Linked DNA regions of Cricetulus griseus. The protein of the gene in region 2 purifies or fractionates together with the protein of the main gene of each other region. This does not show direct contact. Links are inferred from orthologs where the notes say so. Each region holds a gene or a part of one and is shown on either strand. Other genes may lie near its edges.

Evidence for each region.
Region 1: the proteins of Pbxip1 (region 2) and Slc27a1 purify together in Homo sapiens (co-immunoprecipitation; 3 studies listed by BioGRID and IntAct, with this or other methods). This does not show direct contact. The link is inferred for Cricetulus griseus from reciprocal best matches to the Homo sapiens genes PBXIP1 and SLC27A1.

Annotation. Positions count from the first base shown.
Region 1 is NW_023276806.1:247,956,064-247,959,867, reverse strand, and holds part of Slc27a1 (long-chain fatty acid transport protein 1), read right to left. Parts: intron 1,575-3,804; coding exon 1,365-1,574; intron 1,280-1,364; coding exon 1,153-1,279; intron 1,064-1,152; coding exon 926-1,063; intron 856-925; coding exon 691-855; intron 404-690; coding exon 257-403; intron 1-256. UniProt on the Homo sapiens protein: Mediates the import of long-chain fatty acids (LCFA) into the cell by facilitating their transport at the plasma membrane.
Region 2 is NW_023276806.1:65,108,772-65,113,174, forward strand, and holds the start of Pbxip1 (pre-B-cell leukemia transcription factor-interacting protein 1), read right to left. Parts: upstream 2,852-4,403; 5' UTR 2,757-2,851; intron 1,774-2,756; exon of another isoform or gene 1,697-1,773; intron 179-1,696; 5' UTR 145-178; coding exon 91-144; intron 1-90. UniProt on the Homo sapiens protein: Regulator of pre-B-cell leukemia transcription factors (BPXs) function. Inhibits the binding of PBX1-HOX complex to DNA and blocks the transcriptional activity of E2A-PBX1.

The DNA.
Region 1 (3,804 bases), about 180 Mb from region 2:
GGCAAAAGACAAGACAATTCATAGAGAAAGAACTCTCAGAATGTGCAGCGCACCCCTCTCCAGCTTCCTAATTGTCACAACAACGCAAAAACCAAAAGACGAAACAAGGTGCCCACCAACTGACCAGGAGCAGCAGATAAGTCCATCAGGAAATCAAGAAACGCCCCAGGGCAGGTGGCTGTCAACCTTCATTCACACTGGGGACTGAGTCTAAATTAGAACAAAGAAGTTAATGGTTCCTGAGGCAGGGCTGTACCTGTGGTATCCACCTGAGGCAGAAGACGCAGGAAGATGGGCCGGGCATAGGATGCCAGAACCTTCTGCAACTCCTGGTACATGGTGTTAGGGTCCAACTGGCCGTGGGGATCTGCAATGGCCGCCATGCCGGCTTTGCCCTCCACTCCTGCAGAGGGAGGGAGGTTCAGCTGAGAACACCTGCCCACCTGTAGCGTCCGGCTCTCTACTCTATGACCTCCCAACTGGGACAACATTGGTCCTGACAGCACCCATTTCATAAGGGGTCATTTCGACCCTTCTGATCCTAAGGGTCCCCCAAACTGAGGCTCAGCGTTAGAAACAGTTGGAAACTACTTCTCCAGGTTGTATGCTTGCATATACTTGTATATGTCCCCTCTGGGTGGACTCCTTGGGTTCTCTGCACCCCACAACCACCCGGCGTCCCCAGCTTGCCTGGCACGGCCACCCCGTACACGGCCACATCAGTCTGGCCCAGCAGGCGGCTCAGCACGGCTTCCACCTCGGTGGTGGACACGTTCTCCCCGCGCCAGCGGAAGGTGTCCCCGCTGCGGTCGCGGAAATACATGTAGCCCAGCTCGTCCATCACCAGCACGTCACCTGCAGGGGAGAGGGGCAGGTGGGACCCAGCTTCACATCAAGCCAGACAGTCGGACCGCGCGGCTCGCACCTGAGAGGTAGGCGCTGTCGCCCTTGCGGAACACGCTGTGGGCGATCTTCTTGCTGGTGGCGCTATCGCTAACGTAGCCGTCGAAGCGCCGCAGAGGGTCTTGCTGGTTGATCTGGCCCACCAGAAGGCCGGGCTCTCCTGAAGGAGTGAGTGACAGACACTCAGCGGAGTGGGGCGGGTGCCGCGGGGACCCTAGCTCCCCGAGGCACCGGCGGGGCTGCTCTCACCGGGCTGGCATGGGATGCAGAGGCCCTGGGCGTCCCGCAAGGGCTCCATCGTGTCCTCATTCACCTTGACCAGACGGATGGGGTACACGTGCGTGAGGATGCGGCTGTTGAAGCCGCAGGAGCCGACCTGGGGTGGACGAGGCGGTGAGCGGCAGTGAGCGGCCACGCACGCAGCCCCGAGGCACCCGCCGAGGGAGGGAGCAGCCGCGAACCTTGCCGTCCATGTTGGCGATGCTGCAGTTGCACTCGGTGGCGCCGTAGAACTCGCCGATCTGCCGCACGCCGAAGCGCTGCGTGAACTCCTCCCAAATGGCCGGCCGCAGCCCGTTGCCCACGGCCAGGCGCACACGGTGCCGCCGCTCCACGTCACGAATCGGTTGCCTCAGCAGGTAGCGGCAGATCTCCCCGATGTACTGCACTACCTGTGGGGGAGGGGGCTCAGGGAACGCCCAGTCAACAGCAGTGCGGAGAGGCGGGGCCAGCCTGGCCGGGGAGGCCTGCGGGGGTTGGGGTGGGGTGGCTGGAGGTGGGACGGAAGAGGGCATGACACACCTTGTGGCTGGAGCCTCTCCTTTTCCTAGGCAGCACTGACCCCTGCAGGATGGGCCGTCACCCCGGAGCAGCTGTCCCTTGGCACCCTGAGCTTGGGGCAGGGCCGCATACAGAGCCCATTGCCTCATAGATTAAGGGTGTCACCCCCAGTAAACTCCTGGGTATCCTCAAATTCTTTTTCCCCCTCCCTCACTTTTTTTTTTCTAACTTTCGTTTACATAAGGTCTTATTATGTAGCCCAGGATGACCTGGAACTCGGTATGTAGACCAGGCTAGCATTTAACTCACAGAGATCTGCCTATCTCTGCTTCATGTTGTAGGAATTAAAGGGCTGCACCACCACTTGGGATGGGCTTTTGAATAGCTGCATGCTCCACTTTACAGATGGACAAACTGAGGCCAACAATAACAAGGAAGTCACAGAGGTAGTAAAAGGCTGAATTGGACTTGAAGCCTGGCCAGGCACCCTGGACAGTTGTCATACGGCAGTCACCCTCTCAGGGTTAGCAACCAGGCTAGCCACACAGCCTCCTCCCCATCTTCTGCAAGGAAACCAAATTTCTCCTTCTACCCTCCACATCCTGTCTCTGCCTCAGGGACTGTACTGTTGTGCTGAAACACTTTTGTCACAGGCACGCCACCTGAGCTCTAGGTTGGCTCCTGCCCTGTCCCCCGTGTGCCCCCCCCCATGTCCCCAAGCAGCCATGGCAGCCCAGAGACAAGCTAGGTAGAACAGGGAGTGCCTCCCGCCAGCACCGCTGTGGTCCCCTCCCTCCTACCTCCCACAAAGGAACAGGAAGACAGCATCCCACCTGCCATCTGGATAATAACATGCTACCATCTGTGACAGGAGGGGCACAAGCAGTGTGAGCCAAGGAGAATCAGCACTGAGGACTTTGCGGTGCTGGGGACAGAACCAAGGCAAGCCAGGCAAGCAGTCTCCCCTCCCATTCATGACTTTGGAGATAGGGTCTTTGTAGCCCAGACTGTCCAGGAATTTCTGATCCTCCTGCCTCAGCCTTCCAAATGCTAGGATGACAGGTGTCATCCTAGCCTCCAATCTGGGGTCACAGCTCACTGGGGCTTTTAATGGAAGGTTGGAAAAAGGACTTTTTCTCCCCTGAAGTGACAGGGGCAGTGTCCCCCCCCCCACTGAAAGGAAAAGCCCAGTGGAGAGGGTAACCGAACAAAATGGAGGGCTGAGTACAGGGCACTAGGACCAAGGGGCACATAGCCTTGGCTACATCGCAAGTTCATGACAGCAAGTACATGAGCTGGTCTCCAAAAGCGGGGAGAGGGAGGAGACAAGAGAGGAAGGAGGGAGTGTGGGGTAGAGAGAGAGGGAGGGAACAGGAGAGGAGGGAGGGAGTGTGGGGCAGAGCCCCCTAGGTCACATGACCTGAAGCTGTTCCTATGCAGCATTCCCATTTCTGTGAACTCAAACCCTGTCCTTGAGAAAGCTTAGACTTCAGCTTTCTCAAAAGCTTAGACTTCAGCTGGATTTGGTCTCTTTCAATTCACTAACCTTCTGCCTAACTGTCTGCCCAATGCAGTGCCACATCCCAGCACTCACGCTGCATGTGTCAGGAGGACCTCGGGTCCAGTAAGACTCTGGCTCAGAAGCTAAGTAAAGTCCCACCTGCCAGGTGCTCCATCTGCAGCCCTGAGGTGAGGTTTCCAGTGGCCTCCAGTGTTTGGTTGAACATAGCTTCAGCTCTCAGAGCTCTGCCCCTCACATCTTTGCCCCTCAGCCCACTGCCCCTTTGCCCAACAGGGTCTTTCACAGATACACAAATTGACAGAAATGGCTTTGAAGGATCTTCAGACAGTAAGCAGATTCTGAAAACCTTTGAAGAGTCCAGACAAAGGGACCCTAGGATGTCATGGAAGTCTGTGACCAGGGCATGCCTCACCACAGGCAGTCTGATGTAGGTTCAACATGTTGTGGAATGGTCAGATCCAGGTGGATCTCTGTGAATCCCAGGCCAACCTGGTCTATATAGTGAGTTCTAGGACAGCAGGGATAGATACAGAGACCCTGTCTCAAAAAACAGACCAACAAAGGTAGAAAGGAGTAGACACTGACAACACCCCAGCCCC
Region 2 (4,403 bases):
GGACCCTTATTCCTGCAGGTTCCGGTTCAAAGCAGTCCACTCCTGTGGAAGTCCCCCCTCCCACGTAGTTCCCAGGCCCACTGTTCCTACCTCAGAGCCAGCAAGCACCCAGCTATTATCTGAGTCTGGGCAGGAGGAGGTCATAGTTGTGGCAGTCCAGGGTTGCTAGAGTGGCCACCTGCAGGGAAAAGCTCTCTTAAGAATTGGAGTCCCTGGGCTGGAGAGATGGCTCAGCAGTTAACAGCACTGGCTAAGGTTCAATTCCCAGCACCCACATGGCAGCTCACAACTGTCTGTAACTCCAGTTCCAGAGGATCTGACACCCTCACTCAGACACACATGCAGGCAAAACACGACACCAATCTACATAAAATAAAAATAAATCTTAAAAATAAATAAATAAAAATTTTTATAGAGGAGGAAGAGGGGAGGGAACTCCCATCAGGGGAGGCAGACAGCAGAAGTAGGACTCCAGGCATCAAAAGCAGGGCAGTAATCTCCAAAACCCAGGCCAGTTCAGTCCTTCTGCCCTAATCCCATGCTTTCCTGGAAGTATTCTTGCTAGAAGCCACAGGGAAGCTGCCTCTTCCAAGGATCCACAGGGCCTTGGGAAACTGCACTGACCTTGAAAGGTCAAAGAGGCCAAAGGCTGAAAAGTCCAACCCCCTGGTGTTCTGGTCAGTGGGGAGGCATCACAGAGAGGCTGACTGACTGGAGAGAGGGAAATAACCTGGGTCCCTTTCACAATACCTGGGTCCTCCATAGTCCCTAGCGTCCTCCCACAGAACCCAAAGAGAAGACCCACCAGTCTCCTTAAGGCCCAAGTGTCCCAGCACCCATCTGTCCATCAACCCTCCACTCTTGGTTTAGGCGAGTGGTTCTCAACCCGTGGGCCACACCCCTCTGTCAGCTATTTATATTACATTCATACAGTAGTAAAATTACACTTAAGAAGTAGCAACAAAATAACTTTATGGCTGGGGGTCACCACAACATGAGGAACTGTATGTATTAAAGGGTCACAGCGTTAGGAAGGTTGAGAACTTCTGGTTTACTGGTTCTCAGCACTGGCTTTGCAAGGCTCAGTTAAGACTGCCATTGACGTGAGTGGAATCAGGCCAGGCAGGAAGCTTTCTGATACTGCAGGGCCCAGCAGGCCTGGGAGAGTTAAGTCCTCCTGGGTGTACATTTAGTCAGGCTCCTTTTCGCTTTCTCTCCACTGTAAATTCTACAGAGTTTGATCTCAGGGATCTTGATCTCAGGGACTGGAGAGAAGGATTTGTGGCGATTACCATCCATAAATCACATTACAATTTACAACAAAAAGGGGTGGGGGACTGGGACTCTGGTCCTGTCCCTTGCTAATCAGCTTGAAGGACAACCAGGGTTAAGGTATGACTCCCCCCCCCCCACACACACACACATTAAGCAAGGCTGTGCCCTTGGGCTATGGAGTTGCATCTGGGATCAGGCATGAGGATGGAGTGACAGACAAGCTGACCCACAGAGTCTTGGACTGTGGTCAGAGACAGAAAAGTCACTGCCTTCCCCGGTAGCAGAAAAGGCAGAAGGTGAAGATGACTGAAGAACACTGAGAAGGGAAAATGGGGTGGGGGAGTCTGGAAGTTCTACCTTCAAAACCAGCCAATGCTTCCTATCTATCTACTCCAGCTAGGGTTAAGCCCTTCATGGTTACCTTATAAACTTCTGTGGCTCTGGCCAGTCAAGATTCAAGTCCAAGATAGGTGATAAAGGACGTCTAATGGTGTCTTTCTGAGTGCCAGTGAGACACCAGCACCCAACCCACAGGGAGACAGAATGATTTCGGTAAGTTCTCTATACCAGGTCCCAAAAAACCTCCCTACGCCCCCCTTCCTCTAGTGACACACACACACACACACACACACACACACACACACACACACAGCCATCCTTGTCCAGCTCTCTGGTCTCACCCCTCCCTCTACTGCCCTGTCCCAATCCCAGCTGCTGTGTGTGACTGTTAACAGGTGACAGGAGGAAGGAAGCAGCAGCAGCTTGAGCAGAAGTCCCCGGTTCATCCCTGGCTGTTTACAGCCTGCTCAGGTCCTCCAGAACTAAGCACCATGGCAACCAGGGTGATGTCAGACCTACTGTCTCCATGGAAACCAGCAATGGTACGGTATTTGGGTCAACAAGACAAACCTTCTGAAACCTAAGCAGCGGACTTCCTGGAACTCCTGCACTCAGGGTCCCAAACCCTGCTACCAGAACGCATCCCTGCTCTCCTAGGCTAGCACATCGATGCCTTATTAGGAAGCCCTCTAAGAAATTGTGCCGCTGCTTAGCTGCCATCCTTCTCAGCTGTGTTTTCAGGACTCTTTGACCTCTAGGAAGAAAACCAGCTCCCTACGCTCCCCTTTTCACTCAAACGGGGTACAACATCTTGTCAGGATTGTCTCTGACTCCTGCTGTTTCTAAAAAACAGTGCTCCTACTCTGCACAAAGCTGTGAAGTCTGGTTTGGTGCACACTTCCCTCTAACAGACTTCTCTGACCTTTAAAGGGAAGGACCTGGGACCACAAGAACTTGCCTGAGTTCCTGCTTCGGATTCATCCGTCTCCCTCCTTCCCCGCCCTTAGGTCCTGTGTTAGGCAGTGTGTGGACCCGGGGCGGGGGCGGGGGGGGGGTGCCCACTCCTTTTATACAGCTCTGCCCTCCTTTTTTATAGGGGGATAAAGTGGGGGTCTGCCGGCCCATTCCAGCTAGGGATTTACCTGACCCAGCTCTCGCTTCTGTCTTCAGTTTAACTTCTTGCAACCTCCCCAGGTTTCCAGCCCAGGAAGGGGAAAAAAAGGGGGGGGAGTCACGTGGCTGGTGTTTGACCAGTGAAAAGTCGCCTTCTCCGCACGGGTGGGAGGGTAGGGGGAACTTTTGACCAATAAAAGGTGGACTTGATCTCCTGGGCGGGGCGCGGGTAGGGGTAGAAGATGTAAGCAGTACTTTCCCTCTTGGTTTATCTCTTGGTGGGCGAATGTGATCCCCAACAAACTAATTTTTTTTTGAGGTGGGGAACCTCGCTCCTTTTCGAAATGTTTAGTGTCTAATAGGAAGATCTAAAACTGAAAGGTGCTGTCTGATGAGATAGCAAGGACCAGGTGCCATGTTGGCCCCAGGATAGACAGAGACAGCTGTAGTATGGGGGATGGGTCCGGTGCTAGTTGTGGGTTTAGAAATAGCACTCCTGCCTTCCTGCGGGCAGACTGAAGGTGCCACTGCTTTGAAAATGGAATGGAGGGCGGCCAAACGTGGTGGTGCACGCCCTTAACTCCAGCTCTTGGGAGGCCGAGACAGGTGTATCTCTATAGTTCGAGATCAGCCAGTTCTACATAGTGAGTTCCGGACCAGCTAGGGCTATATAGTGAGACTCCGCCTCACAAACAAACAGCAACAACAACAAAGAGAGGCCAGCCAGTGGGATGGCTCGGTGCGGTGAAACCTCCACAGGTGCACTGTGCACGTGCCTGCCTTCAACACATTAAAAAAAAAAAAAAAAAAAAGGAGGTGCTATAATCCCTGTGCTAAGAGACTGAAACAAGAGGGTGATTAAGGCCAGTGTTGTGATCTTGTTTAAAGACTCGAGCTAGGGAACGTGAACCAGGAGATACATTAACCATGGAGTTTATTAAGGGGGGGGGAGCGAGAGAGCGAGAGAGAGACAGAGACAGAGAGGAGAGAGAGACAGAGAGACACACACAGAGAGAGAGAGAGAGAGAGAGAGAGAGAGAGAGAGAGAGAGAGAGAGAGAGAGAGAGAGAGAGAGAGAGCGCCAAGAGGGTGTAGTAGAAGAGAGCATAAGTGAGCAGGGGGTCTGTCTTTTAAAGGGGTCCTTTACACCTCCCTGCAGACTTAGTTCTCATGGAACCCTGGGCTGACCAGAGTACTGCCTGAGTGGATTCTGCCAGGTAGCCAGGCCAGCTTTATGCCTGCACCTTTCATTCCCACCTTTTCTTATTATTAAAAAGGTGGGGTGTTAGACATGGCAGGTTAGGGAATAAGGGCGTAGAGTTCTTTTTTTTTTTTTTTTTTTTTTTTTTTTTTTGGTTTTACAAGACAGGGTTTCTCTGTGGCTTTGGAGGCTGTCCTGGAACTAGCTCTTGTAGACCAGGCTGGTCTTGAACTCACAGAGATCCGCCTGCCTCTGCCTCCCGAATGCTGGGATTAAAGGTGTGCACCACCACCGCCGGGCAGGGCATAGAGTTCTTAAGAATGCTTTCTGCTGACCTAGTGGGCGTTGACCATCTTTGGGGGACCTGAGAAAGCTGGGGTGCTGCCATGTCCTGGGCTTCCTGGGGTAACTGTTGCTTCATCACAGCCCAGGCTGTATGGAACTCTGGTGCCTCTGAGACCTGGCAAGATGTTGG